4 linked regions of the Daphnia pulex genome follow. The protein of the gene in region 4 purifies or fractionates together with the protein of the main gene of each other region. This does not show direct contact. Links are inferred from orthologs where the notes say so. Each region holds a gene or a part of one and is shown on either strand. Other genes may lie near its edges. The genes, in order: coatomer subunit alpha-like, zinc finger protein 622-like, structural maintenance of chromosomes protein 2-like and E3 ubiquitin-protein ligase Ufd4-like.

Region 1 (8,030 bases), on a different chromosome or scaffold from region 4:
TCATAATCAATGTCAGTCCTTTGGAGTTTGGCAACAGTCTACTTGTCCCTAATGTGACAGCAAACATCCCTCAGAGAATCACCCAAGAGGGACTTGATCTCCTTGTGAGGCTAATGCTCCTGAGCACTGATGTGTGAGTATATACAAAGCCATTCTAAATATACCACTCGTCTGTACACAGGCAAACCCCCACCACCACCACTCAAGCCTCAATAGGCTAAAGTAAATAACGATTGTTTATTAAAACGTTTTCTTCCCTTTTATTTTTCGTCCTTTTACGTGCAGGAATTTGAAGGCCGGTTTCAACAGCCCCGGAGGATATGCATCTGTCAATCATCAGCATTACCATCTCTATTATTTGCGTGAGAGGCTCTACCTGGAAACAGCGGTATGCCATTTGATTTCCCATTATAATTGTTTAATAAACCCCCCCCCCCCCAAAAATAATTGGTTTTCAATAGGCTGTGGAGCCAATCGCTGGGCCTTGTTTCGCTTTAACTGATTTCCCATCGAAAGGTTTCGCATTTCAGCTGACGGATAACGATCCAGCACTCCTCGCCAAGTATACATATCGAAAACACTTTTCATCGTTGCGATCGATAATTTATTGCTGCTGTTGAATGGCCATTGTTGGAGTGCAGGAACGTGTTTACTTTGGTCTCTTACCTTTGCGCCAACGAGATTGCCCATAATCTGTTCGTGACTCGAGGGAAACGCTTCGGCGGAACTCTTACCACCGCCGATGTCTACGATACGCTGCGCGTGTTCGTCTGGGCCAGAGAACCTGCATTCGGTAACATGGACGTGTAGAACAAAAGAGAGAAAATATAATACTCAGATATAAATTTCCAAGTGGCGCAGCGTCCCTTTTAACTGGCATTTTTTCTCTCCCACTTTTTGCCCGCAGGAGTCAAAGAAGAAATAGGATTCAACCCTGCACTTTGCGAGCTGGCCGGCCACCTTTTGATCAAAGGTGCGTTTAAACTTGTGAAGAATCAGCATAATTTCTTCGACTATAACTGTCTTGAGGTCATTTTGCATTTATTTCAGAGCCACCAGCCTACCAGGTCGTGACGGAAAAAGAAGCCGCCCAACTGCTGGACAGCATCACGGCACCCTGGTTCGAGCGCGTCGGCGCCCAGATTGCCCATCTCTTTGCTTTTGCCACGTAGTCAAAAACGATCGCTCCCAGTTGACAGATGACTGACGTAAATGACCCTGTTGTAATTAAATCGCGCCAGCTTTTTTCTCTCGACCAGCTCAACTGGTTCCGTGAGGTTGTGCACAGCACAGACAACAGTAACGATTTTTCGGTTTATTTCGGTTTGCATCAATTTTCATTTGGAGCCGGGCCACGTTTGGCTGGGTTGAAACAATTTCAGGTCGTTTGCTGTTTTTGCCTTCGTTGTCTCTTACAAAACGCTGACCAGTGAAACACAGTTGTTTAAACTATTTTAATTTTTTATTCTGGGGGGTTTTTGTGTATATTTCATCTTGACGTGATAATTATGTTGTCAACAAAACTACGATGATAGATTCGCAGGGGGAATTCTAAAGGGCTGGAATTCCGGTAATTTATACCCCCCCCTCCCCCATTCAACCATCATTTGACAATGTCAAATGATGGTTAACGCCGTAAAAACGCCGTAAAATTCTGTTCTGTGCTGGTCACGACCGTCGTGATTCTGTAGGTTAACCGCAGTTACACTAGACATATATGTTAGAAATGATTTCTACCGTGATATTAGAGGTAGAACTAATATACTACGTTTTAATTAAAATAATTGAAACATGAAATGAAGTGAGTGAAGTTGAACTTGAAATTTATTTGATGAAATTAAATCGTCATACGTTTAAATCCAGACATGAATAACATTTTTTAGTGACGTACGGATCTCAATTGGTAGCTGTTCCCAACTCGTTTAATTCCGGATGACCGAGTCTCTGTAACTGGCGGGGGGATTTTCATATTCCGGCGGCAGATTCGGGTAAATGGTCTGATACACATTTTCTGTTGCTTCTCCTGTTGTCGTTCCTGATCCTGTCGTCGCTGGAGGTTCGTGCAGAGTAGGTGTGGGGGGTGGTGTCAGGTTTGTGGTGCTTTGGCCAGATTGGGCTGCGATTTCATTGTTAGCTGGAACGTCATTCCAGTAACGTGGAAGTTTTGGTTCTTTTTTAGTTTTCGTCCAAAATCTATCCACTGCTAACCACACACAAGCAACAGCGCAGCATTTCAGGTAGCCGGAAACCAGTTCTTGGTCGAAATTCGCCAGATTAGGCGAGATGACGTCAAAGTATCCAATTTGAAAGGTGAAGACTGGACCCATTATACCGAAAAGTCTTTGGACAATTTTCATTGCAGAATCATCCTCTTCCTCCCACTTCCAGTAGTAATCCATTTGCAATAATGTTGCAAACATAAGGTAAGCCTGAATTGCCGCTAGTGTGGGCAGCGCATTGGATAGGGCGGGGATCCACATTTCCGGAGGTGTTGAACATGTGACCCAAACAACCGGATTCCCATCGAGATGATTGTCGGGACTGCAAAGCACATCAAGTCCGTTCGGTTTGCAGGCGGCTAGAAAGTTTGGAGCCAGAGTTTCAGTTGGACCGTTGTTCACCCATAGCCAGACGAAAACACCTCCAGTAATCAACGCTACAATCCATAGCAGAAGTTGAAACAACACCAGCAATATGCCTGCAGAACGGTTTGATGATGAAACAGAACGGAATCTTTTCTTTGCGAGTAGGATGCCTGACATCAAGAGACTTACACAGCAAAAACATGTTCCTTGTAGAAAACAGACACTGTATTTTTCTCTCGGGTTACTGGATTTCATCGGATAGTTAATTTTATCGTACTCGTTGCATGTTATTTTTATTGGTTTTCCATTAATGTCCGGTTGATTAGGAGGTAGTTTGACAAAACAGATTAAAAATGTCCACACAACGATAAGTGTAATCACGTATCCGATCAGGTTTGAAAAAGCTTTTTTCCCTTTTGCGAATTTCGTCATGGTGATATGAATCGCTGTTTAGTTTGATGATTATCCGCTTCGTCTAGCGGTCGTATATATATCATTCCATGGACAGAAACTTGCTCTGCAGTTGTTGAACCGGCAATTAATCGTAAATTTCGGGATAATCAACTTGGATTTTTATTTTTTAAATTTCGTTTTTCGTTAACTTACATTTTAACGAATAATGTTCAAAAGAAATTACGAATATGCGACAATCCCTTATCTCGTAATTTGTATTGTCAAAAGTACACTTGGCTTGAATTTGACACGAAAAAGAAAACATTCGAATCTTCGTTTAAGTGGAATTTCAAATTTCATACAGTTCTCTTCGATTGTTGACTCATCTTATCGAGTTTTTTCTTAAAGCAATTCACTTCAACATTAGAAAGCACGCTCTATCATTCCTTGGGCGTAGTTAACGATAACTAAGTCGACAAGATAAGACTCGCCTACGTTGACTTCGTTCACCAACACCAGAAGAATTTGGCAATTCAAATTAAAAAAAAAAAAACTAGCCAAATCCGCACTGAACTATGCCATCTAGCGTGAAGTACCTTCATATTATATGAACCTATCGGTAGGTGGCGTTTATCTTGACTACTTCAGCGACGTGGCTCTTCTGTCATTTCATTATTCCGGAGACTTGTATACTTTATATTTGGTGACCGTTCACCGGTTAATGTCTCGCAAAAATGCTAACTAAATTTGAAACGAAATCGGCCAGAGTTAAAGGCCTTTCCTTCCATCCCAAGCGACCATGGATTCTAACGAGGTACGTGTTTTTGCATACTTTGATTCCCGTCTTGAAGTCGGCAGTTGTCAAAGTCTGAATTGTTTTAATTGAATTTTTGTCATTTAGCTTGCATAGCGGAGTAATTCAACTATGGGATTATCGTATGTGTGCGTTGCTGGATAAATTCGATGAGCACGATGGACCTGTACGTGGAATCTGTTTCCATAGTCAGCAGCCCCTCTTTGTTTCTGGTGGCGATGATTACAAAATTAAGGTACCCACCCTTGCCTGACTTGACAAATTAACAAATGCCAATAATGTATGCTGTTCCTTTAGGTCTGGAACTACAAGCTGCGGCGCTGTCAATTCACATTGTCTGGCCACATGGACTACATTCGTACCACAGTCTTCCATCACGAATACCCATGGATTTTGAGCGCCTCTGATGATCAAACTATTAGAATCTGGAACTGGCAAAGCAGAGCTTGTGTATCTGTTTTGACTGGCCATAACCACTATGTCATGTGTGCCCAGTTTCACCCCACAGAAGATTTGATTGTTTCTGCATCCCTGGATCAAACTGTCAGAGTTTGGGACATTTCTGGTATTAACAGTTGTCAACCATTTTTCACTGTCAAGATCACATCATTATTTCTATTTTTGTTAGGTTTGAGAAAAAAGAATGTGGCACCTGGACCTGGAGGTCTCGATGAACACCTCCGTAATCCTGGAGCCACCGATTTATTTGGCCAAGCTGACGCAGTTGTTCGCCATGTTTTGGAGGGGCACGATCGCGGAGTGAATTGGGCAGCATTTCATCCGACACTTCCGTTGGTCATCTCGGGTGCTGACGATCGCCAGATCAAGTTGTGGCGAATGAGTGAATCTAAGGTGACGAGAGCACAGCAGAAATGACTTGTTAATCTTCTGAAAATAACTTTTTTGTTTCTCCGTATTGTGAACAGGCATGGGAAGTCGATACGTGCCGTGGCCATTACAACAATGTTTCTTGCGTCTTGTTCCATCCTAAACAAGAGCTGATCCTTTCCAACTCGGAAGACAAGAGTATCCGCGTTTGGGACCTCACGAAGAGGACGTGCCTCAACACTTTCCGTCGTGAACACGACCGTTTCTGGGTTATGGCTGCCCATCCAACTTTGGGTCTATTCGCAGCAGGTAAATTAACATTCTGTAACATTTCAAATTGGATCACGCTAATAATGCTAATGTGTTGTTTATTCAGGGCACGATTCCGGAATGGTGATCTTTAAGCTGGAGCGAGAAAGGCCTGCGTACAGCTTGCACGGCAATCTGCTATTTTACGTCAAGGAGCGTACCCTTCGTCGGTTGGATCTTACCACGTCGAAAGATACCGGTTTGCTGCAGTTGAGGGGCAACGCTCGCACGCCGATCCACAGCATCTCGTACAATCCTGCCGAGCAGTCTGTTCTGGTTGTCACTCGCGCTGCCAATTTAGACAATTCCATCTACGAGCTCTACTCGGTTCCAGTTGAAGCCGATTGTCCGCAAGATGGTGGCGATGGAAAACGCTCAACAGGTGTGACTGCCATCTGGGTCGCTCGCAATCGTTTTGCTGTCTTGGATCGTAACCACACGGTATGCCACGACTATAAACACCGGGTTAATGTTGGTTTTCTACAATAATTTTATTTCATTTTTCATTTTTTAGATCGTCATCAAAAACGAAAAGAACGAAGTCAGCAAGAAAATTCAGACACCTCCGTGTGATGAAATCTTTTATGCTGGTACTGGATGCGTTTTACTTCGTGATACGGAAGGCTTGACCTTATTTGATATCCAACAGAAACGTAGTGCTGGACAGGTAATAAAACTAAGCAAGTAGGTCATTCCAAGAACAACCATGTTCATTCAAAATTTTCTATGCAGGTTAAAATGACCAAATGTCGCCATGTCGTTTGGTCGGCGGACATGAGTCACGTTGCATTACTGGGCAAGCACGTCTTGACCATCGCCAACCGTCGTCTTGAAGTGCTGTGCACCATCCAGGAGAACGCCAGACTCAAGTCTGCTACCTGGGAAGATTCGGGTGTTCTGATCTACACCACTAGCCACCACATCAAGTATTCATTGATCAACGGCGATCACGGCATCATCCGCACCCTAGATCTGCCCGTGTATCTCACCCGTGTCAAGGGCAAGGCTATCTACTGTTTGGATCGCGATGCCCGTCCTCGCATGTTCCAGGTGGATCCCACCGAATACTGCTTCAAGTTGGCCCTGGTCAACCGAAAGTACGACGAAGTGTTGCACATGGTTCGACACGCCAAACTTGTCGGCCAATCGATCATCGCTTATTTGCAGCAAAAAGGTTATCCAGAGGTTGCCCTACACTTTGTCAAAGACGAAAAGACTCGACTGGCCCTGGCTCTCCAATGTGGCAACATTGAAGCAGCTCTTGAAGCCGCCAAGGCTCTAGACGACAAGTTCTGTTGGGAGAAACTTGGCGAAGCTGCCCTTCTTCAAGGTCAGGATTCTCGCTATTAGTTTTTTTTTAATGATGTTTAACTTACTTTATATTGGATCTGTAGGCAACCACCAGGTCGTTGAGATGTGCTATCAAAGGACAAAGAATTTCAACAAGTTGGCCTTTTTGTATCTGATTACTGGCAACCTCGACAAGCTAAGAAAGATGATGAAGATTGCTGAAATTCGCAAGGACACTTCGGGTCAATACCAATCGGCCCTTTTGCTAGGGGATATGCAAGAACGTGTCAAGGTGCTTCGTAACTGCGGACAGGTAATACGGGACGGTTCAGTTAACTAAGTTTTGAATGATAGTAATGTTTAAACATGGTCTAGACGAGCTTGGCTTTCCTTACTGCCGCTACCCATGGGCTTAATGAAGAGGCCGAACTACTGCAACAACAACTGGAAGCAGCCGGTCAACCAGTACCTACTGTAAATCCATCTGCTGTGTTCTTGCAGCCGCCTCCTCCAATTGCTCAGGCGGAATCCAACTGGCCATTGTTGACCGTTTCCAAGGTACGCCATTGTTCATTTGATAGATTTTAATGGGAGGGAACTTTAACATTTGAAATGAACTGGAACAGGGATTTTTCGATGGAGCCATGGCAGCTCGTACCATTGCTTCTGGATCTGCTGTTGCTACCGAGGAAGATGCCGGTGAACCTGATGGCTGGGGAGATGATGCTGATCTTGGTCTTGATGATGAAGATAAACCGGTTGGATCGGCTGGCAATGCCGAGAGCGGAGATGAAGAAGGTGGCTGGGAAGTGGGTGATGAAGATTTAGAGTTACCATCCGATTTGAGCGTTGCTGCTCATGGAGGTGAAGACGAAGACCGCGGTTATTACGTGCCACCCACTCGTGGTCAGCCTCCTCTGCAAGGATGGGCCACTCATTCGCAATTGGTTATTGATCACGCTTCAGCTGGCTCCTATGAATCTGCTTTCCGTCTCCTCCATGACCAGATTGGTGTCGTTAATTTTGCACCGTTCAAGTACGTACAATAACTGTTAATTCCTTCGTCATTTGCTTATAACATAGCGTTTCTTTCTACTCCGTTAGGCCATTGTTTACCGCAGCCTTCGCCAAATCACGAACTATGTTTGCTGGATTGCCTAATCTACCTTCCCTGGCCGCATACCCACAGCGTAACTGGAGGGAAGTTGCTGCCTCCTCTAAAGTTCACGGATTACCTGCACTTGGTGTTCGCTTGGCTGATTTAGCTCAAAGGCTTCAGGTAGGCCATCATTTTATTTTATTTTTTTTTTTTCAATTTGGGAAAGTAGTTAAATTATATTTAATTCGGTTGACAGATCTGCTATCAACTGACGACTGCTGGCAAATTCAACGAAGCTGTTGATCGTTTCCGCCTGCTTTTGTTAAATGTTCCACTCTTGGTGGTCGACAACAAAGAAGAAGTTCGCAAGGCCCAAGAATTAATTGCCATCTGTCGGGAGTATATTGTTGGCCTTAGCATGGAAGCTGCTCGTAAAGATTTGCCCAAGGAGAGTTTAGAGGATCAGAAGCGTAGCTGTGAAATGGCAGCCTACTTCACCCACTCAGAGCTGCAACCCATCCATCAGATCTTAACTTTGAGAACGGCGCTGAATCTTAGTTTCAAACTCAAAAACTTCCGCACTGCGGCCTCCTTTGCCCGGCGCCTCCTGGAACTTGGACCTAAACCCGAAGTGGCGCAACAAACTCGCAAAATCCTTCAGGTACTTCATCTGGAAGTTTATTGTGGTAACTCATGCTCAATTTTTTTTTAT
Region 2 (7,175 bases), about 4.3 Mb from region 4:
CAATTTTCCCGTGAACCAACCATTTTTAAAATGCTTTTTTTTCGTACTTTAAATGTATAAACTCTTATATTTGTCGTGTTCTTTTTTTTCCAAATTTCAATAACAAGTGCCTTTTTTTTCTCTTTTTTTGTTGTTGTTGGCGACATTGTCGAAGTTTTCTGTTGTTTCCGGATCGTGGGCGTGTCGAAGGATTAGACACACGCATGTAGTGAAATGTGAAAAAAGAAATGATTTTTGGACAAACAAATGAATGGAACTGTCTTAGCATAATGGAAAATCGTGTATAATGTACAGATTTTGATCATGACGGTCTATCGAGCTTCCGCCGCGATTTGACATGTGAACGTTTTCTCTTTTTTTAATTTTTTTTTTTAATTATAAAAATAAGCCCTATGTCATTTCTCGACAGAAACATTTGCTATATCGTGTGCGAATCATAATAATATGTATAACCAACATTTTTGCTACCATCTCTCTTATTTGCATTTCTTACGCTCTTTATTTTCTCTCTATCCTCCATATTATTGTTGTTCTCCCCCAATCCCAATCTCCCCCTAAAACAAAAACTATCCGAATACATGTTTTTTGGACTCGATCATTTTTGCTTTGAAAAGAAAAAAATCTTGACAGTGTTAAACTACACATGCAAGTTGCTTTTCGTGGTCGGTCGGTATAGTTGGCGGGGCATGTTTTTTGGGGTCGGATGTTCAGCTGATCTTCGTCGGATGCAATTTCATTCAGCAAACTGCAGAGTTTGCAGCGTACGAATGAGGTCAGTTTACGATCAAAGTGCGCGTTTTATGATCCATCCTGTCAGCGGAATTTGGCATCATCGTTAGTCGTTTGGTTCAGGTCTGAAAGTCGCTTCAATTTGAGCTGCAGAATGAATGAACCCGAACGGGATCCATGCGTCGTTATTTATCATAGTTTTTTTCTAAACTGTTTTTGCACAGTAGTTAATCGAATTAACCCATTTCTTTCAGTTTTAGACAAAAAGTCTTTGAAGGATGCTTAACATACCAGATCACTTCTAGTTAGTATCCAACCCCCTTAAATTATGAGTAAATACATCCTTAATCTTCAAAGTTCTTTTATGTTTAAACAGTTTGAAGGCTGGTGTCAATTAAATAATGTTGCCCATTATAATCACTTGTTCCTTTTCGATTACCAAGCACTCAATCCGTGGGCTCAAGATAAACTTAAAAAATGGTGAACACATAAAGATAATGAATGTACTTCCTTTTGAAAACACCCTTGCTAAACAACAAATCTTATCTTATTTGATTACAATTGGTCATAGTTTTCGATTCTTTATCAATGGCGGAAGTTTTTGAAATATTGTACTTAATCTCCTCGTACTGTACCACGCCCGCCCATTGGCCATGGCGTCCAACAGTCGAAAAAGTGGAGCAGTTGTACAAACTTGGCATTGATCATTGTTGCTGCAGACAGAAAAATGTAACATCGTAAATTAATCGTTGGTTATCTGTCAACGTAGACGCGTCTCATTTCGTTAACGAAGTTTTAATTGTTTTGTTGAATTTGTAAGTATTTTTGCTGAAGTAGTCGTAATCTCCGATTGCAGGTTGAGCCAAATTGTTCAATTCTTAACGTTGGGCAAAGTGGTACACCACGTCCGCTTCCTGGCTACTATATATTGCGTTTTGTGTAAAGATGATCACTTTCTCACAGGCTTTCACTCTCTGTCGACCACTTGTTCTCCCAAAATGACTGCTGTGAAATCACTCGCCGTTCTCGTTCTTGCCTCTGTTGTGTTGGCAACTCATGCCTTGATTTTCAAAGATTGTGGTAAGGTTCATTTGTTTATTTTCTATATTAAGCTTGCCAATAACCATCTGATTTTGGTCACAACAGGATCGGTTTATGGGAAAGTTCGGTCAGTGGCAGTTTCTGGTTGTGAAACGAGCAACACATGTATACTTAAATCTGGTTCCAGTGCCAACTTTACAGTTGTGTTCACTTCGTGTAAGTATTTCAAGCCCAATTTGTATTTAATAAGTCTGAAGTAAAACACATTCACTCTGTTCATTATCTAGTGGAAGATACTGATACAACCAAGGCTAGCGTCCATGGTATTATTGCAGGAAGTAATATGAAAATAAACCTTTAATTCTATTCAAGTAATTAATAATAATACATTACTTTTAGTTCCTATGCCTTTCCCTCTACCACAGAGTGATGCGTAAGTGAAAGCACAATTTTAGATGTAAACAGTGGTTTTCCTTAATTTTATCATCTTTCTGTTTCTAGTTGTCAAAATTCTGGTTTGGTCTGCCCCTTAAGTAATGGACAAAACTATACTTACACAGCATCCATTCCAATCAGTCCTGCTTACCCTAAGGTAAAAAAAAGGCTTACTATTTTACCAAAAAGTTTCGCATAATCATTTTGGTCTTCAAAATGCTTGCACTTCATTGAAATGTCATTTAGATCAAATTTTACCTTTTTTGTTTCTTAATGATTTATTCTTCTATGTTTAGATCAAAGTACTAGTCAAATGGGAGCTTCAAGAAGTTCATGGGAAAGATTTATTCTGTATTGAGATCCCTGCCGCAATCTTGTAAGCGGACTCAAAACATACCTTACTTTATTCTGTTAATTTGTGTTCTAAAAGTGTTTGTAATCCAATAAAAAAAACAGTGAAATATAAAATGTCGGCGAAACGTATATATTCTTCACCAGTGAATGAATCAGCAAGTACTTTTAATAATCTACATATCAACTTGTCTTCTAAAATGTTTTTGCAGTTTGTTAGCCTTCACACTAACACCAAGCTGATTTTTCAAAAACATTTTCCGCATAAATGTGATGTCTCTCACTTTCTTTTCCACTATCTCTTTAGTTGATGTCGTCCAGCCTAGAGCCTTGAAATAATTTCCGTGCTGAATCGCTGCGCGCGTGGGTACTGGTCTTGGGTTTGGATTCAATTTTTGACTAGGAGTTTTGCAAAGAACCGAATAAGTAAAATGGCAATTGAAAAAAATAATAAATATTAACATTTTTTTTACCGGTAATAGCGGTTAAGGGATCGATGCCCAATCGTTGAGCCAGAAGGCAAAACTAGTTCGAATCCTAGATCGTTTATGACATTTGGCTCCACTTCTTCATTTGCATCCCCACCATCTGGGTAGCTAGTGGAGTAATCATAAAAATCTGAATATTCCAGCAGAACTTCACCTTCATGAAACAATTTGCAATGTCCCTTGTCAAGCATATGCTTCTGTACTGCCTCTGTTGAAGGGAACTGCCGTCCAAGATGCCCACACCACGTACAAATATGTCCCTGGCCAACTCGTTCTCCCAAGTAAGTTACCATTCCTTCTATATCAATAACATATTCAAAATCTGGTATGAAGAATGAATGCTGTGATGACATATGCTTCAGACTGCTCTCCAATGAATCACTCTTGTGATTGCAGAATAAGCAAGATGTTACTGGAATTGCTTCATCATCATCTTCCCATTCATCTGAATCGTCTTCTTCTTCAACTTCTATTTCTTCCTCGTTCACAGCTACTTCACTTTCAGCAGGGCCAGCATTTTCTGTCTTCTTGATAGCAAGTTTAGGACCATTAAGGACATTATCTTGATGCTTCTTTGATGGCAAATGATTTTCATATGACTTTTCAGAACCAAACTTTTTCTTGCAGTAGGTACAGTAGGGTGTCAGGCTCTTTGTGGCTTCTTGCTGGTTTGCCTGCGTCCTCTGTTCCAACACACGTTGCTGGAATACTGAAAACGATATTACATGCATAAATTTAAATTTGATATCATATTGAAAACATTTGTTTTATACCCTCTGCAGTAACAGGCGGCAAGTCCACAACTTTTCTTTTGAGGTTGTAGCGATGCCAATCTGTTTTATAGTGCTCACGTTGGATGTTTGGCTCTTTAAACGCAACGTGACACGATATGCAAGTAAATGTCATCATTTTTCTGGCACCAAATAATCTAAGATATCAGGTAGTTCACATAGAAATGTTAAAAACAACTATTATGAAAAAGTTAATGTAGTTCAGAATACATACGAACACAAAATGAAAATCAAACAATCCCGTCGATTTACCGTTGATTAAAAACAAAACGTAACTGCTTGAAGACAATTCAACACTGCAACAATGCAACGGCCATGCTGTTCAAGAATATATTATTGATTGTTACTCATAGATGGCGTTTCATCAGCTTCACAATTCTGTTTGTAGATGTCACTTTCCAATGTGATTGACAATGTGAAATTGTTCAACTGGTGGCGGGAGTTATTCGTGATTGATGACATTCCTCCATTTGCTTTTGAGTTTTGACTTTAGAGATAAGTTGCTAGACTTGCTACTCAGATTATGGTGCATTTGAGATTATACATAATTAAAATTAAAGGTAATTCTGTTGTTTCGATTTGTGTTTGAAATTTACAAGTAATCTAGCAAATCCTTTCCACTGGGTCAAATCACCTGATGCCTGGTCCATTTTGTCAGTCATCTCTTCACTTCATGTTGATCAAATTTTATTACTAGAAAGCTATTGATGTAGTTAATTGATAACTAAGAAGTTGATTCCTTTATACTCTGGTCTTGTTGAGTTTCAATAAGACATCAGACATGATTGAATTTCTTTTTGTTTGAGTTTTTTAAGAAGTTATAGGAAAATCTTGATAACTCTTAAATCTCTCTCTTAAATTTTCAAGTTATTGCTGATGAGAGCTCTTGTACGTTCCTTAAGTCTGTCAACAAAAAGCAAGTTCCAACTTGTGCAATGTTTATGTTCAGTTATTAAATTCCCCCATTTGTGGAATTCAGTTTTCAATGTGCAGATTATGACACAATTTTTTTTTTAGCTTTTCTCTTTTTCCTAGTAATTTCTTTTACTGTTTCTTCTTCACATGCACATTTCCCCCTAAATTATTAATAATTGTGAAGGTAAATTTCAATAATAATTGAATAAAGTGTCTTTAAAAAATGGGTTGGCAAGGAATTCTTTTTATTCCATCCAGGTTCCTGAGTGAAAACCTTTTTTTAGTATTTAGTTGGAGTGCTAGTGCTTGTGTTGAAGCCAGAACAAAAAACAACGATAGTTTTCTTGTCCATTTATAACTTACATGCCAAACTTTCTATAATATTTATTGTGTTGTATGGACTGTATATGCAATTGATAAAGAAAAGAGGTTTTCAAACAAGGATCAACATCAACTGTGTGCACATCATGAAATGATCATGGATTGAGTTTGAAAACTTTGATTATTTTTTAAAAAGCCAACTGTCCTTCAAATGGTTCGAAATGAAAGATTTATTCATTCACCGAAGAAACAAGTCAAATAATTAAAATGGCAATTGGTATAAAGTAAGTTTTAAGCCATAACCATTTGGTATTCATTTTGATATTCGTAGTTTTAGACCCATCTGGCCATCTCCAGCAACGTCAACCTGCAGAAGGAAAGCCCAGTTTGCATGTCCTTCACTTTCGAAGGTCACGGAGATCATTACGGTAAACGTGTCATGCAGTGGGGGAGAGGTTTGGTGAGAACGAAACGTGTTACATAACCATTTGGTATTCATTTTTAAATTTGTTTTTGTAGACCCATCCCCAACAACGTCAACCTGCAGAAGGAAAGGCCAGTTTACATGTCCTTCGCGCTCGAAGGTCACGGAGATCATTAAGTAAAACTTGTCATGCAGTGGTGTAGAGGTTGGGCGCGAACGGGCGTTTTGCATCATTATCAAGCAGGTACTTAAGCCGCAAGGCTTATTAGGAGGTGAAGTATGAAAAAAAAATCGTATATAAAGGAGAGAGAAAAGGCCAGAGACGACATCAGTCGAGTGAGGATCTCCGACACGGCAACAACTGTAGCGCAATATCTGTCAACAACTGCCCTCTTCATCGTATCATCAGTTCGCAATCATGGGTATGTAACATGTATTCTGTTTTTTACATGGTGTTTTGTATTGATGCTACTTATGATTATTTCTTAATGTCAGTTATTAATTGAATATTAATGTTTAAGTTTATTTATTGTCTAGTTAATTATGGCGTCGTGCTGCTGTTGGGTGTTTTATCTTTGACGGGTTGGTCGACCACTGGTGTACCGATGTCTCCTGGGTATGGCGGATATCAAACCACAACGTCGCCGCCTTACGGCAACAACCGGTTACTCCACCAAGACTGAGTATTACAACAAAACTTACGATTCCCCGAGCTATTACACAGAAGACCAGAAGTATAACTCTGCCCCGAGCTACATCATCAAAGAGCCGTAGTACTACACCACTAAGGCATCGGAATACTACACGACTACGTAAGCTGCCCCTGCCTACTACACCGAGGCCCCTAATTTCTACAACACCCAAGCGCCCAAGTACTACACTATAACCTTCGCTGCCCCGAGCTACTACACCGACGCCCCGAAGTATTATTCTGCGTAAAATGAGTCGTCTCAAAAGAGAAGTCGTATAAAAGGAGAGAGAAAAGTTGGCAAAAATCAATCGAAAGAGTCTTTCCGACACCGCAACAACTGCAGCGCACGATTTGTCAACAATTGGATTGTTCATCTTATCATCAGTTTGCAATTATGGGTAAATGTTTTGGTTTTTACATCGAGTTTTGTATCAATCCTTTTTTTTCTATTTATTACAGTTATTATTAAATATTAATGTTTAAATTTATTAATCGTTAGGTTAGCTATAGCGTCATGCTACTGTTGGGTGTTGTATCTTTGATGGCTGGGACGATCACGAGTGTACCGATGTCTCCTGGGTATGGTGGATACCTAACAGCAGCGAAAAAATACTACACCACGTCGCAGCCTTACTACACAAACGTCAACATACGAAGGACCTGCTTACTACACCGAAGCTCCGAAGTATTAATCTGTCCCGAGTAACATCACCAAAGCGGCTGAGTAATTCACTGAGGCTTCCAAATACTACACCAACAAATCTCCAGAGTATTACACTACGCTACCCCAGCTTACTATACTGATGCTTTTGGTTTAATACACCACCAAATTTCCAGAGTCTTACAATGCAATCTTCGATGCCCCAGCTTACACCACCAAGGCACCGGAGTACTACGGCTGCTCCTTCGTACTACTTTTCGTATGTTTTAGAAACATACACAAACTGATTAGTTAAACACAAACAGAGTGTCCGGTTCAAAACATTTTT
Region 3 (7,977 bases), on a different chromosome or scaffold from region 4:
ATGAAGCTCAGACTTTACTACTGAACAGTTAATAGAATAGTAAAACTCAATTAGTACTTGAAACAAAGTCACAAAATTTTAATTCAGAAACAAAGTCTTGAATCAAAAAGTTAGGCAACATAATTACTAACATGACTACACAAAAAATTACATTTGATAAAATTAAAGAATAAAAGATGGAATTACCATGTCTGGGGTGAAAAATGTCATGTAAGAAAGTACCCAGCAAGGACAATATTCAACCTTCTCGGACAGCGTCTCGACAGCAAAAGAAATACTGCTTAGTAAGTCGTCTCAGCACTTTGACAGTTTGGTGACCCACCCCCCTACATCCCTCTGGAAACCCACACTAGAGTTGAATAGTTCAATCCCTAAACACACTGAAACATTTAGCCACCTAGTGACAGCCCTTAGCAACCACGGACGACTAGAGTCATGGACGGAAAAAAAAAAAAAAATAAACCAAATAATCAAATATTCGTCATCTCCGTGAAATACATTTAGTACATTTAAAAAAAAAGCAATTATCGAAAAATTAACAAGTGAGCTTTCTTGGTGGAATACTTATCGTCAGTATTACACAAGTATGTGTAATACACAAGTATTACTGTGTCGTGTCGTTTTTGTTAAGCTGATGTTTGTCAACATAAGAAAAAACTTCAATCGCTTTGCTTTTCTTGGGAAAGTGAACATGGAGATGCGAATTACTAATAGGCCTACAAGTAAAATTACTTAATTTACGCAAAATAAAGGAAAACTACGAATGATTGATTCATTTTTAGTAACTGACTGAATTATTATTTACCGAACGCATTACACTTAATAGGTTCACGCTTCAGAAAAGATGAAGTACGATTTACAAATGCTTTCTGATACATAATCGTCTACTTTCGTTTTTTAGGCCGAGTTTCCTCTTCCTCCGCTGGGCGGGCATGAGAGTTCGATTGTTGCTGAGCCAATCGACTGACCGTAGACATACCTTCAACAAATTTTGTGCGAAAAAGAACATTAGCATTGTTAAACATACCGTCTTTCAGAGATACAACGATGAATTGCGACTGCTTAAAATGTTGCTTTAACATCACCCCAATGTTCTGAGTGTGAGACAAATCCAAGGCTGCGTCTACTTCATCAAGAATATAGATAGGCGCTGGTTTGAATAATAGCATAGCCAAAATCAACGACAAAGCCACTAAGGATCTCTGACCGCCACTCAATTCCGATAAACTCTCTTTCCATACTCCGCCAAAAGCAACTTTGACTTCGAGACCGTCTAGCACTGTTTGACCGTCCGGTGGCTGCAGTTTTGCTTTGGTTCCGGGTAACAGGGTAGAGAAAATAGAACCAAAATCTTTTGTCACTTGTTCCCAAGCCACTTGAAGAGTTTCTTTCTTCTTTTCGTCCAGCTTCAGGATTGCGTTTTCAATTTTCGCCTTATCCTCTTCTACAATCCTCTTCTTCCGCATCAAGTCATTATACTGCGCCTCTGCTTGTGTCAACATAGTCATGGAACGAACGTTGACATGGCGACCAAGCTTTTTCATGGATTCCTCTAATTTATGAACGCGCTGTCCCAATTCTGCTCCATTAATGACGTTAAAATCATAATTAGACCCGGCTACTCCAAAATGGTGTCGATCTTCGTTTATCCAAGCATGTTTTTCGAGCATGGCGTCAACACGCTTTTCGGAATCTTTTGCGTCATCTTTTGCTTTGGAAAGCCGATGTTCCAATTTCTTCAAGTGCAGTTCACCTTCACTCACCTTTGCATTCAAAATAAAGAAATTAATTAGAATTATGAAGTATTGTAAATTGGGATTTAAAAAAAAAGCCAACCTGAGCTTCGCGCTGTTCTTTACCAGCAATTCGTTTGGAAATTTCTTGATTTTGAGCTGAAATTCGTGCCTTAAATTCGTCAATTTGTTTTCTGACTTCCTGTACATTAGCTTGTTCAACTGCCAGAGCTTCATTCAACACTTTCATTTCTTCATGTAAATTGGCTAGTGTTATCTCAGTCTCTAGATGAAGAACAAAAAATTTAATAAAAAGTGCAAAGATAATTTTGAAACATACAATTCAATAACAGAAACAGTATGTCGTTACCTTTTAATTGAATGTCAGTAGTTTCAATAGATTTTCGAAGTTCCTCCAACTCTAGTTTAAGCGAGTCAGCATCATTTGCATGTTCCTTCCATTTAGACTGTGAAGCAGCTGCCGCCTTCTTGCAACGATCCAATTCAGCTTGGGCTGCTTTTAACTGAGTTTCCCGAATCTTACCGGCATTCTTTAACTGATTCTCCAACTCCTTGATGCGCGATTTACCTTCTTTAATGATGTCGGTGCATTCGAGGGCCTTTTGCTCTGCTGATTCCAATTCCGACTTCATATTTTCGACTTCTTGAGTTTGGCGGTGGTGAAGCGTTTGCTGGAGCCTTTGCTGGAGCAATTCAAATTCGTGCTTTTTCACATCGTAACGCTGTTTCAGAGTGCGATACTGTGCTGAAGCCTGCTCCATAACTCGAAGTTCTTGTTCCGCTTCCTTTAGTTGACGATCTTTTGCCTCAAATTCGTTGCGGTACTGCTTGATTTCGTTAACTCTGAGAATAGCAGATTGGCCAGAAGCTCGACTGCCACCAGTTAAAGTACCACCAGGATCAACGACATCCCCCTCCAAAGTTACTGTTTTACGCATTATCTGATCGTGAAACGTAACTTGTCGAGCTTCGTCTAGACCCTTACAAACAAAGGAGCTGCCAAAAATGTACTTCATTGCCGGCGTCAAGTGGTTCTCAAACTCAATCAAAGATATTGCGGTATGGCAGTTTTCTTTACCAACGATTCTTTTGGCAGTTGCCGTAGTCCGTTCATCGATGGTTCTGCCTTCAATTTTGTTGAGAGGGATAAATGTGACACGTGACTGGAGCTTGCCTCTCTCAAGAAGCTTTTTTGCCGTGTTTTCGCTGTCGACTACTATGTTGTATAGCCGACCTCCAGCAGTAATATCTAGAGCAGTAGCGTAGGACATATCTGGAACTTCAAATAAACTGCACACCACACCTGTTCACGAAGAAAAAAAAGTTAAGAAAAGAAATATAAACAAAGTCACACTATAGAAATGCAACCTTTCACAGTAGATGCGTCGAATTGCCTTTCAGGAGGGGTGTACCGAAAGGCCATTTGAGGAAATCGAGCTTCGAATGATTCAATTTTCTCTCGCAGCGAATGCATTTCCGGTTTCAAGCTTCTTTGCAACTGCTCTAAATTAGTTACTTTCTCTTCATCATAGTGAACCTGCCCAAGTTCGGCTTCCAGTCTCTTAACTTCATTCTCGAGGTGCTTAGAGTTTTGTGCATCTTTTTTATAATCGACCTCCGACTTTTTCATCTCATTAATTTTAACTTTCAGCTCTTTTTTTAGATGTTGGGTTGTCATTTCCGAATGCTTCAACTGCGACTCGGCTTGAGCAACATTCTTTTGCGTGGCCATGAGTTCTTCAGGTAAAGTGGCCGCAGCACCATTGTCACTGGCCAACAAACCAGAACTGATTTCTTGGAAGCGCTTTTGGGCAGCTGTCAAAGCTTCACTATCCTGTTGTTCAGTTTGCCTTAATTTTTCAAATGTCTCGCCTAGTTTACTCTCTTCTACCTCCTTGCCTGTTCCGATGAATATAAATACGCTATAATACTGAAAATATATAAAATAAAAGTTAAAATTTTACCTTCTAAAGCAGCGGTGTCGTCGTCAAGACTTTTCTTCAGCTCTTTTTTCCTCTTTTCTTCAGCTTTAATATTTTCCTTGAGCACCTTAACAGCTGATTGGGCTTTCGATTCGGCTTTTTCTTGAACACGCAATTTTTCTTCAAGCTGTGTAAGTTCTTTGCCACCAACTTGGTCTCTCTGATGTTGAAGAGTATGAATTTCTTTTTCCAGTGCCTCAATTTCATTTTTGAGTTTTTCTTCAGTGGCACAATGATTTGTCTTTTCTTTTAAAATCTCATTGTATTCCTCCTTTACTTGGGCATTAGCTTTTTCAAGGCTGAGGAATCTATAAGCTACATATTGGCGGTTCAAGTGTTCTAATTCACGTTCGGACTTCTGAAACTGCAGGTACTGAGTTCGTTCTTCTCTCAGTTTGTTCAATGTTGGCGTAACTTCTTCTGAAAGGATGTCATTGATTTCTTTGATTTTTTCTTCCTTTTTCTCAATTGTTTTCAAAGCCTGTTGCTTTTTCGCTTCGTACATTCTGGTCCCTGCAGCTTCCTCAATCATGGCCAATATTTCAGGGGGTTTCATATTCAAAACCTGCAATGTGAAAACACATACTTATACACTGAAATGCAACCACAAATTGATGAATGAGTTAAGCACAATACTTTAGTAATTCTTCCTTGCATGATAAGGAAATGAGGATTGTTGACATTTAACTGCACAGAGCGGAAAAAATCTTGGACACGGTTGTTTTGAACATTTGATCCATTTATGAGATACTTGTTTTTTCCACCGATGACAACCTGAAAATATGGAAACATAGACTATATATCCTAGTCATAATGAAATCATAAATAACAATACCTGTCTAGTCACTGTAACTTCATCATAATGCTCATAGCCAATTGGACTTTGTTTTTTGTCTTTGTTATCAAAGGTGACTGTCACAGTGGCTTTCGTGACACCTGCTTGTCCACTTTTGTATACTAATTCTTGCAAATTTGTTGCTCTTACATGGCTCAAATTTGTGATGCCAAGAAGGAAACAGATAGCATCCAGAATGTTAGATTTACCACTACCATTTAGCCCTGTAATGGCATTAAACATTGGATCAAATCCATTGATTTCAGTTCTTTGGCCATAGGATTTGAAACCATCAACTACCATAGATTTGATGTACATTTTTTAAAACACAAAAATACTTGATCACGGCTTGCCAGCCACTCAACGTCTTTTCCCGCTGTTTTCTCCTTTTCCTTTCAACGGCTCAACGCATAACTTACGTAGGCTATGCTTTCAACCCTCAAATACTCTGGATTGGATTTTCAAAAAAAGAAGCCTTTTCCCACCACACTTGATGCGTATGTAAACGCACGATAATTTCGTAGCATGAAAAGTAGGATAAGTGGTAGAAAAGGGCGTTCAGGGGTGTTCAGAAGACAGAATTGACGTGTCACTGTTGGAAGATGAAGATAATTAAGAAATTTAGGGAATTTTTTTAAGTTTGTAAAAAAAAAGTGTGTTTGACCCGATTTTTTATCCGGGCCGTTTTACCCGGCCGGTAAAAATTTTTTGACCCATGGGTCGGCCCGGGCCGAACCCATTTACTCTGTTGGCCCAACCCGCGGAAGAAGAAAAACCCATCTAAAAAACCCATTTAAAAAAAAAAACCGCTAAAAAACGTCCGGGCCACAGCCCTAACAGCGAGTCAGCGACTGCCGACTCATGTCCACTGGTCCACTGACAGCCAGAGAAGCCAGCGGCCCCACCTGGCCCCACACTCAGAGCAGAGAGAGATAGTATGCTACGATGCTACATGCTACGATCGTGATGCTACTGTGGCTCTGGCCAGAGTACCAGAACCACAGAGCAACCAACGGCAACCAGAGGATGCCTAGAAACGAAGAACCCAACGACAAGAACCTAGAAATCGTTAGATTCTAAAACAGCGTCAGATTATGTCCTTTAAATGTTTAAAAAATTTAGTCAAAATTGCTCACTTGTAATTTTTTCCTTTTTTTTTAGCACGGAACATTGTCCCACTTGTATTGCAATTTTTTTTTGTTACGACCAGACACAACTGTACATATCTATTTACAAGAAAATTTCAGTTGTTATCTAAGAATAAATATAGCCCAAAGTGTTCAAAAATAATAAATAAAACTATTTGCTTCGGCTCGTGAAGGAGAAAGGGTGAGAATTAACAACAAGGAGCTGAGCAGAAAAAAAGGGCATACAGTATATCCTTGGGTCTTACGATCAGCACGATTGTGTTTACATGGAATCATGCAAATTTCTTTTTTAAACATAAATTCGATAGCAAACAGAATTGCAAACTTCTCTCTCACAGACAGACAGTCATGTTAAGTCATAGTCATATTATTTAGTACAGAAGGCAAACAAAAGGATAATCGATGTGAACCGAATGCCTCAAACCAAGGCGTAATTAACAATGTAACGAGGCAGGCACATTTCATCAGTGTACAAATGTCAGCACGATCCATCAAGCGTTGGGTGACAAATGTAAAAATCCAAAAGGCCAATTTGACAAACTTTGGGCTTTCCCAATCAACTGCTTGGACAACAGATGACTGGCGAGTCCCAAAAGAAAAGCACAACGCCCACAGACCAGAATTCTACCCCTTTGGAAGATCTCATGGAAATGGAATGATAGCAACCCACGGTGAATATAACGTAATGGCACATATTCTGAAGCGCAAAGATATGTTCATGGAAAACATACTGTACAATACAAACAAGGCACGTCTATGGGCTTCAGATTTCGGAACAAAATATAGTGGAATGGAGCAAGTACATCTGGGAAAGGGGGTGAGGTTTCGTTAAAGGGCTTTCAATCGTTGCATCAGTCTGTCTGCCTCTGATCCGTCATCAGCGGCAGCTAAGTATCCACCTCCGTTGTTGAGCTTCACCTCCCTCTCTCGGCCTCCACTCATTAGTAACTCGGCAGCCATGTCAAACTTGGGCGGTGGTCGCGCTTTTCTTGGGCGAGGCGCTTTCATGGCTAGCCCATCCGTCAAGTCATCCGTTATGGCAGGAACTGGAGGTCTTTCGTCACCGAATGTCCTGTTTTCATCAATACAAAATCAGAAACAATGCAATCGGAAAATGACTAACAATTTGTTCAATACCCTTTCATTTCCCGAGATGAAGGGGACTCTAGTAGCGCTCCTTTGGACCGACTGCGATTCATTTGTGCACGGCGCTCCGCTGCTCGAAGACAAAAACAATTTAAAAAAAAATCATCATTAGACGGTACAAACAAAAGGCACTTGTCGAAAGCCCATGCAAATAAAAATGGTTTGCAAGCCGATTACATCAAACGGATTAAAAAAAATAACGATGAGTTGTGGTGAATAAATAAATGAACACTGTGTCCGAAGCTGTTAACAAAGTTTAAAGGCAGCAACTTTTTGAACGCGTTATTTTTTTTTTCTCTTTTTAAATCAATGTTGGTATACCTTAAAAAAACTGTTTCGGGTAGTCAGCAGCAAAACTTAATAATAATTTAAAAAATCACACACACACACACACACACACACACGAAAAAAGTTATACCAAACACCGGCAAGTGGCGGGGGAGGGAAATAAAATCCAAAGCAATTCGGTTACGGCGTGCCATCATCTTGGAAGCGGTCATGTCATTTCAAATTTCCAACTTTTTTAGATTGCAGTAACTGAACTGGGGATCTCTTACCCGTTGTGAACTCGGTTGGATCGGTCTGCGCCGTTGCCAACAGGATTTGCAAAGGAGAGCAACGTACGAATTTTGGGGATATGGAAACGAAATGTTATGTTATACGCTTCAACTCACATTCTAGACAACCTTCTTCGCTCAATTCTACAACCGACTTAACGGACTGGTGTCTTTGGTACGTGCCAAATAATGAAACAAGTTCTACGATGTTTGTACGAGATGACAAAACGTGATGAACGATAATTAGTTAATTACCTCCGACTGCACGAGGGGGTCGATCCCGTTTCCGTCTCTGATCTCTGGAGAAAGCGGAACCCGTTTTCAGAGCCTCCAGCAGCGAGTCCATGACACCTTCCTGGTCGTCGTCAATATTCATGTCGACTAGCGCTTTCTTTTTGGCTTGGCGTTCGAGTTTTTCCCGCTCGGCTTTCTCCTTGGCTTCGCGCGCTCGTCGGATCTTTTCCTCCGTTTCACGCAGTTTGCAATTATCTTTATAGCATTGCTGGAGAAAAAGTTTCAAGGTTAACACGATACTTTATCCGGATGTTCCATCAT
Region 4 (7,610 bases):
TTACCCGATTGCGTACTGATAATACGACGTCACGAAGAATGAACTTGGTGACAGTGCACTGCAGTTGTTCATCCATGTTTCGTTGCCAGTATTGTTCTCTCCAGCAATCGCCCTGATACAACAGCAAAGTGATGATGTTCCGTACGAAGACGACCCAATTTGATATCACAAAAAGACGTAACATCTCCAGCCTAATAAAAAATAAAGTCCATACCCAATAATTAGAATCTAATTTTAACAAGAACTTCATATACTATCTAACAACAACAACATCAGAGCAGTCAATGTTGGTTAAGTTTCAGTCACAAGTATTACAATTTATATGAAATAAAATGTTCAAGAATTCTTACCAACCAGACGTTCGATCGTGCTTCAAGCTCGGTATTGACTCGATAACCACCAAAATGGAAATCTATTTCCGAACCAGAAACGACAGCCAAATCCGTGAATTTTGCGTCCCAATCGACAACAGCGACGACATGGTCAGTTTAAATCTGCTGAAATGAATTCTAGATTTTAATTAACATCGCTAAAACATGTACTGAAATAACTGTTTACCTTTTGACCATCGTTTAAGGTCAATGTGACCTTGTAGTCTTCCAAAATTGCACCCTCAACATTAGCTTTGGACAACACATTGACACCTTGCGCTTTCACCAATCTTGCGTTTTCACCAATGGATGAAGTCCATGATAAGTAGCAAAGGAGTTACCCTGGAAGAAGAATAAACATTGAATGACCATAATTTTCAATAAGATTGTAGTGACAGAAAGCAATACCTCAAGTCGAGAAGGAAGTAAAAAGGGAGATATGGTGGCAGCCAACAGGTTACCAAACAAGGGACCTTGTTGACTGTAGTTTTTGTCTTTTCTCTTTCAAAGCACATGACTTCTCAGAAATTCTGTCATGCAAATTTAGAAATCTGTAGTTTAGAACCTGTAAATAAAAAAAGAAAAATAAGTCACATTTTTTATAATTTGTGTTAATGATCAATGTGCTTAACGTCTATGATCTTAAAGAATAATTAAACAGTTACTAGTATACACTCAAACTCGTCTCTTAAACATTACATGGGCATATGGGCAGATGAGTCTTTTAAATACTTAAAAAAAATTGAACAATATAGTTTCAAACATCACCCAAAATTATCTTACAGTAACTCTGATAATTGTCTTTAGAATTGTCTTTAGAAAAATGCAAAATAAGAAGCTGGTGCAACTGACAGCTGAGAAATGATCTAAGGCCATGTTATGGCCATCTACCGTCAAAAGAAGATATGTTTAAAATGAAAGTGTCACTGCTCTAGCTCATCAACACCCAACAACAAAAATAAGAAAAAAAAAACGAAACTCACAAAATCGTCGTCCTTTGGTCATTTGAGAGCAGGGGTAGTTGGAGTCAGTGATGGGTGAGTTGGCCCACCAGACCGTCGGTTGCTGGGTAGTCAAATTATCCTGGCCTCGTATAGCTGGAGCAGGCACAACTCCCCCGTGCCTTGGGGCGACGGAAGGATGGCACGCATGTGAAAAGTATTGCTGAATGACAGCCCGTTAGTCAGTTGTCACTGATTTGTCGTAAGTTTCCACCAATGGATTCAGTCCATGGAATAGCGGCAGAGGTTAACCTTAAACGAGAATGGAGGTGACTTTAGATTTTAAAATTGCATGTAAGATTGTTTACGACAGCAAGCAATAACTCAAAATAAGAGTGGGCCCATTTCAAGGAACTAAGGAGAGGGAATTCAAGGGTTACTGCTACCCGGTAACATTCAATGGGTTAACAAACTTGTTGACCATGTTGGTGGTGTTTGCCTTTTCCGTGGAAGGATAACCAGATAGTTCTCATTTTGCCTATTGCAAAATTTAAATTAGAAAAAATAATTAAAACTACTGCACTCAACATGATGATTCTCAAGATTCTATGTAAACTTAACTTGATGACCCCTTTAATAGAATTTGTTATCTTTTCTTCACCCTGTTTTTATTGACCGTGTAGTCATTTTCCTCCTGGAAGAGATCACCAGGATGCTGATCCTCTTTCAGTGATTGACACAATCTAAATAAGAAAAAAATCAAATAATCAAAACTACTGCACTCGACATGTTGAATTCTATAAATTCTAAGTCAAAATAACTAATGGGGTAACAATTAGAGTTGATGAAAGACCAGGTAGGAAAATTTACGGATTGTCAATACACTAAAGCAAAAAGCTTGATACTGAGATGTTGCGATTTGAAAGTTTACTGTTGAAAAATTACACTTGATCAAATGAACTGTTAATAAAACCAAATTTGAACATTTTCTTTTAAAAATAAGTAAGAATGGTAAGCTGTTCACTAGGATTTCTCTTGACTTGTTATCCTTGGTTATTTTTTCAGGCAACTCACTGACATTGGGACACATCCAATGTTGACAAGGTATACGGGTGAATAACAGCATAGACCTTGGCAGCCATTACTATATCACACATACTTGGCACCACAGCCGTTTATCTTAAAGATTCACGCATTAAGTGTACCTTACTTACAATATGAACAATGAAATAAGCACGTCAGAGAACTTGAATTATCAAACGCCATGGAAGAGGACCGCGACAAACGACATTTCACCTGGGCGCCGCCATTCGGAATGCCAGAAAAGGGCGACGTTGCCATTTTTTTATAAAAAGAAAAATAGAGTTAAGTGGTTTTTTCTTAAACAAATTAAATCCACTGAATTCGTGAATCGTGATTCGTGAATGAAAAAAAAAATAAATTCTTATCTTGAAATAGTTATTGGATGGCTTGTCATGTACGTTTATGCTTCACGATTCTGAAGAAATACTTACAGTCTACCCGAGGCCCTGGATTTCTCGTCAGTCGTCACACGATGGCACAAGTCTCCAATCGAAAACTAAAATATTCTCACAGTAGACTAAATAAGTAATTTGAACCCCACGAAAACAATTCAGTTCAACTCTAAATGGCAATTAAATTTCGTTTAGCCAACAACCCACGATCAAAATCGCAGGTTCCTATTGATCCGCATTGTTCTGGGGTTTGCTTTTCAACGTCTCAGCAAGCCAATTTGGTCTTTTTTTTAAAATAAATCAAACGTCGTGAATAAATCGTCGGCCAAAGAGTTTGGACGGAGGACGGAGATTGGTGATTCAGGTTAGGAGAGTTATCGTTGAAACGTATACTTGATTAAAGTAGTAGTTACTACACCATCATGTGCAAGAGTAAATCCGGCATGACCAAATGACAAACATGAAATATCTGAATAAGGAGGAGCAGAATATATTGAAGAAGAGAAGAGATAAACAAAACAAGACAAAATCCCGATAGTAGTTCTTTGGAGAGGGCGAGAATAGAAAGGGGTGTAGCCGGGATGGGAGTGAGACGAACATATAAATTGAATCATAATTAATGAAATCAATCAATGCGCAATCGATGCGAGAAAGATTACATCATATGTGTGTGTGTGAGGGGGTTGGGGATGATGAGGGCACAATAAATTTTTGTTTTTATTATAAAGATGCGAGTTGAAATTTCACAATAAATGTGGTGGGGGGGGGATGGCGCGCTAAATGAGAAGTAAAGTGCAGCGGTCGAAATGTGGACAAGAGTCCCACAGTCTCATTAACCGACACGCAATCACACACGTTTAAAGATCTCCAAATGCCGACAATAAGAGGCTCGTGTGTAACTTTTATTTTTCCCCACTCTCTGCTGGTGTCCTACCATCGATTCACTACCGACTTGCGAGATTTCCGCAAGTTCTCGCAAACGAATTTTTCCGTTTTTAGTCTATTTTTTTAGTGGATGCCATCAATAAGGGGCGCGGTGATATCAGGGAGCTGATGGGGGAGGTAACAAGAAAACCAATTGCGCACTCGTTTTCTCTTTTCCTGTTTCTCTTTTGTCTTCCTGTTACCAGCGAGTCAAAGATTAGCAAAGGAAATGGCAAATTTCTTTTTAGAATTCTTTTAGATCTAGGCGACAAGTTAAAATTAAAAAATAGAGGAGAGCTGGCCGTTGATTGAGCCCTAAATTGTATCAAAGGGATTACATGGGGAAAGGACACACGATTTTCATCATCATCATCAGGGGGGAGCAAGTAGTCGTTGATTTACGTTTCATCTTTATGTATCCTGCAGTTTGGAACAAAAAACAAGCCAATCGAAAAACAAAAGAAATGTTCACGTTGCAGGGACTGGGGGGGAAAAATAATAAAAACAAACAAATAAGCTGCTGCCTTCATTTTCTTCTTTTCTTTCCTTCACCTTCACCAGCTGATCCACACCCCGCCTTCCAACTGGGATCAAATGACACTAGCGCTACTTTTTTCCTTTCCTCTTTGTCTGTCTGTTTTTCTCCTCTGAAAATCGCAAAAACTTTGGTTTTTTCACATCGGGTGTAGTGGCTGGTGGGGCATTTTAGGGGGGAAACAATTTGGGGGTACACGAGAGAGCCAAAAAAAAAACGGTGAAATGGTGACAAAAGTCAAACTCCAACAAGAAAAAAAAATTAATAATTCCAGGGGGAAAATTGAGGCGAACCAAGAAATATGAATGAATTAAAAAATGGTGTGGATGCACGCACAATGAAAAAGCCCGCCAAAAGGGTTAAGGATTAAACAAAAATTCAAATTCAAAAAAAATGATGTTTAGGCAACGAAAAAAAAAAAAGGTTTTACTTTCGGATTGTGTGTGGGGCTGAGGTTTCAGTTGAGGTGGAAACCCTTTTCGCGAGTGGCGGCCAGGAGCCGCTCGCGCAAAATCTCCTCAGAGTCGTACTCGGGCAATTTGAGGTAATGGACGCACGTGTTGACGGACGGGTAGCTGCCGTTGACGCATCCGCTGCGGTCGCTGACGCCGTCCACTTTGCGGACGACCGTCAGACGCGGGTAGAGATTGGCCAGTCCGCCGGGCGGCAGCGACGAGCAGCCCGTCGTGAACTGGAGAAAGGCCTTGCGCTCCTCGGCGTTCATGCCCGTCAGGACGTTGACGAACCGTTGGAAGCCCGGGCTGTCGCGGGTGTAGCCCAGCTTCGGCTCCGTGTAGTTGAGGATGTCCTCGCGCGTCCAGCTGGGGCTCTGGTCGCCGCACAGGAGCAGCCGCAGCTCAGACGGGCTGAAGCCGGCCAATCGCGACATGGGGAAAACGCGGTCGAATCCCTGGCGAAGGGCCTCCATCTGGCGGCGGATGCCTCGTTCCAGGCAAAATTCCGCCATCTGTTCCACGTAATCCTCGACATTTTCCAGCGTCACCTTGACATTTTCAATTTTCAAATTAAATCAAAATTCCATTTCCACAAAATAGAAAAAATTAAATTTCCCACCTCGAAATCGGCACCGCCGGAACGCAATTCAACGTCGGTGAATCCAAAGACTTTGGACGACGGGGCAAACTGGAACGTCAGCGCCAAATCCTCGAGGCGGACTCCGCCTCCGACTCCCTGCCCCTGTCCCTGGGCGGCGCTCTGAATCTTCTGAGATTGCGGCGGGACGATGGTGGCCGGCTTCTGCGACATGTTGCTGTGGCTCTGACTCGACACGCTCGACACGGTCGTCGTCGTGTTGCTGTTCAACAGATTGGGCTGTGCCAGGGCCAAGTTGTCGGCCTGGCGGCAGCGATCCTCGTGGCTGAGCGTCGGGTCCGTCAGGATCTGACGGCGACGAGTGGCCAGGGCTCGCAACTGGAGGAGGAATCGGCCGCGGGTCGGATCCACCACGGCCAAATCTTCGTGCGAGAGGATGCCGGAGAACCAGGGCAGCGACGGATCTCGAGGGCTGCTGCTGCCCGTCAACGGTTTACCGTTGCCGCCCAGCACGTCGCCGTCCTGCGAGAAAACGGACGACGTCATGGGGTCTTCCGCTTCTTGTTGCTGTTGTTGTTGTTGCTGCTGTTGTTGCTGTTGTTGTGGAGGAGGTGGGGGCGGCTGCTGCGGCGGCGGGTGAGATCCAGCCCGGTAGTTTTTATTCCGTTTGCTGTCGCTGACGACAACGGGCTGCTGGGCCGGGCATGAGACGTCGCCCTGGCACAATAATTTGAGGAAAGGGGTCGAGAGAGGCAAATCGACAAGGCGGCCGTCCTGGAGGGCCTTGGCCAGGAAAACTCCCAGGAACCAGTAGAGCTGCTCGGCGTGATCACAGATGGGGGAGTCCTGGGGCAACGGGGCCGGGAAGAGACCCGACGGCCGCACCACGTAATAGCCGGGCGGTTTGACTCCTGAATCCGCCACGGAGGCCGCCGTTTCGGACGCCGTCAACTCGTTTTCGTCCTCGTCGTCGCAGATCCAAAGGGCCAAATCGCGTCGCTGACTCTCGGCCGCCACCAGAGCGTAAAACTCGAGCGACGGACCCAGGCCCGTCCCTTCCTCGTCCTGGAATTCAACCTCCAAAATGGCCTTGCGGTCGGCGTGGACCTTCATCACCTGCTGAGCCCAGTCCAGGAGCCGCTCGCCGCGGGGCACTCGCACACGCTCGTGTTTCAGCCGGCCGACGCGGAACTCGTGCGGGTCGTCCCGTCTGGGAACGGCGCCCGTGTTTCTCTGCCTCTCGACGGCCGAATCGCGTTGACTCTGCAGCCAAACGATCGATCTGAAATGCCAAAGAAATAAGAGAAAATATGTTTGGTTAAAAAGACGAACGGACGGACGGAAAAACCGAATGGACCAATTCAAAAATTACCGAGAAGTGCCGAAAGCGTTGGCGTGAAAGTACATCTGGCGCGTCTCGAACGGAATCAAAATGGGGCAGACGGTCAGGAGCTGCTCGCACCAGGCGGGCAGGGCGCCCGACGACACGACCAGAGGGTCGGAAAGTTGTTGCATCAACTTGTTGGTCACTTTCTTGCTGCTAAACTCCTCCAGCGGAATAAAGATGGTCGGACTGTGGTGCGATTGATGCTGCAGCTGCTGCTGCTCCACATCCGACTGCTCGCCGGCGGCCGGTGGCCGGCTGCTCAGCACGTAGAGCTGCCGCAGCAAAAGGAGGACGTCGCCGACGCTGCACGAGCCCACCGTGTTGCTCGTCTGCGTGTTGACGTCAAAGTCGGGCAAAAAGAGTTCGTCGTCCATCAGTCGGCGCTGTCCGGCCGCGTCGCCCATCGCTCCGCCCGTCGAGGGACCGACGACGACGACGGCACCGGCCTCGTCCTTGAGCTCCTTGTAGACGAGCGTGTAGGTCGGCTCCCAGATGCGGCGCAATTTCTCCTGGCGGGTGCCCAGGGCCGAGGCCTGGATCAGCTTCTGCACGGCTTTGAAGACGGTCCAGTCGCTGTCCGTCAGCTCAATTTCCACGTCGGGGATGTTGGGCAGACATGGGCCGCGCAGGACCAGGTGCAATTTGGGTTGCGGCACCAGATCGGCGTCGGCTTCCACGTCCATCGATTGAATGACGGACTGCTGCTGCAATTGCTGGCCGGTGGCCGAGAGGCCCGACGAGGACGGAGACGAAGAAGTGGTGATGACGGCTTCGGCTCCTTGCGCTCCTTCGGCGGCTCCGGGTGGCGGAATTTCAAGATCGGACGTTTGGTGAACGTTGGTACGGCCCGGACGGGGATCAAAGGCCGGAATCAAGGCGGAAAATTGTCTCTTGAGGACGAATTCGTCGTCCCAACTGCGTCGC

The links.
Region 1: the proteins of E3 ubiquitin-protein ligase Ufd4-like (region 4) and coatomer subunit alpha-like purify together in Homo sapiens (affinity purification with mass spectrometry, with the first as the bait; 3 studies listed by BioGRID). This does not show direct contact. The link is inferred for Daphnia pulex from reciprocal best matches to the Homo sapiens genes HECTD1 and COPA.
Region 2: the proteins of E3 ubiquitin-protein ligase Ufd4-like (region 4) and zinc finger protein 622-like purify together in Homo sapiens (affinity purification with mass spectrometry; 4 studies listed by BioGRID, with this or other methods). This does not show direct contact. The link is inferred for Daphnia pulex from reciprocal best matches to the Homo sapiens genes HECTD1 and ZNF622.
Region 3: the proteins of E3 ubiquitin-protein ligase Ufd4-like (region 4) and structural maintenance of chromosomes protein 2-like purify together in Homo sapiens (affinity purification with mass spectrometry; 3 studies listed by BioGRID, with this or other methods). This does not show direct contact. The link is inferred for Daphnia pulex from reciprocal best matches to the Homo sapiens genes HECTD1 and SMC2.

Annotation. Positions count from the first base shown.
Region 1 is NC_060025.1:3,019,064-3,027,093, forward strand, and holds the start of coatomer subunit alpha-like, read left to right. Parts: upstream 1-3,606; 5' UTR 3,607-3,712; coding exon 3,713-3,792; intron 3,793-3,879; coding exon 3,880-4,027; intron 4,028-4,089; coding exon 4,090-4,644; intron 4,645-4,718; coding exon 4,719-4,929; intron 4,930-4,996; coding exon 4,997-5,370; intron 5,371-5,443; coding exon 5,444-5,596; intron 5,597-5,661; coding exon 5,662-6,259; intron 6,260-6,323; coding exon 6,324-6,532; intron 6,533-6,594; coding exon 6,595-6,777; intron 6,778-6,845; coding exon 6,846-7,255; intron 7,256-7,323; coding exon 7,324-7,498; intron 7,499-7,574; coding exon 7,575-7,979; intron 7,980-8,030. Other genes in the region: GDP-D-glucose phosphorylase 1-like, read left to right, coding at 1-133, 286-388, 462-562, 642-793, 908-973, 1,051-1,172. UniProt on the Homo sapiens protein: The coatomer is a cytosolic protein complex that binds to dilysine motifs and reversibly associates with Golgi non-clathrin-coated vesicles, which further mediate biosynthetic protein transport from the ER, via the Golgi up to the trans Golgi network.
Region 2 is NC_060020.1:4,436,084-4,443,258, forward strand, and holds zinc finger protein 622-like, read right to left. Parts: upstream 4,187-7,175; 5' UTR 4,088-4,186; exon of another isoform or gene 4,050-4,087; intron 3,973-4,049; 5' UTR 3,954-3,972; coding exon 3,818-3,953; intron 3,754-3,817; coding exon 3,030-3,753; intron 2,956-3,029; coding exon 2,733-2,955; 3' UTR 2,674-2,732; downstream 1-2,673. Other genes in the region: NPC intracellular cholesterol transporter 2 homolog a-like, read left to right, coding at 1,318-1,458, 1,586-1,625, 1,693-1,809, 1,876-1,986, 2,058-2,108, 2,170-2,203, 2,272-2,362, 2,502-2,585. UniProt on the Homo sapiens protein: Pre-60S-associated cytoplasmic factor involved in the cytoplasmic maturation of the 60S subunit.
Region 3 is NC_060019.1:8,744,575-8,752,551, reverse strand, and holds the start of structural maintenance of chromosomes protein 2-like, read right to left. Parts: upstream 5,004-7,977; 5' UTR 4,890-5,003; coding exon 4,572-4,889; intron 4,511-4,571; coding exon 4,373-4,510; intron 4,302-4,372; coding exon 3,719-4,301; intron 3,654-3,718; coding exon 3,123-3,653; intron 3,058-3,122; coding exon 2,104-3,057; intron 2,019-2,103; coding exon 1,837-2,018; intron 1,764-1,836; coding exon 885-1,763; 3' UTR 223-884; exon of another isoform or gene 152-222; intron 1-151. Other genes in the region: protein diaphanous-like, read right to left, coding at 6,548-6,791, 6,857-6,935, 7,678-7,924. UniProt on the Homo sapiens protein: Central component of the condensin complex, a complex required for conversion of interphase chromatin into mitotic-like condense chromosomes.
Region 4 is NC_060020.1:86,241-93,850, forward strand, and holds the end of E3 ubiquitin-protein ligase Ufd4-like, read right to left. Parts: coding exon 6,672-7,610; intron 6,582-6,671; coding exon 5,321-6,581; intron 5,250-5,320; coding exon 4,704-5,249; 3' UTR 3,162-4,703; downstream 1-3,161. UniProt on the Homo sapiens protein: E3 ubiquitin-protein ligase which accepts ubiquitin from an E2 ubiquitin-conjugating enzyme in the form of a thioester and then directly transfers the ubiquitin to targeted substrates.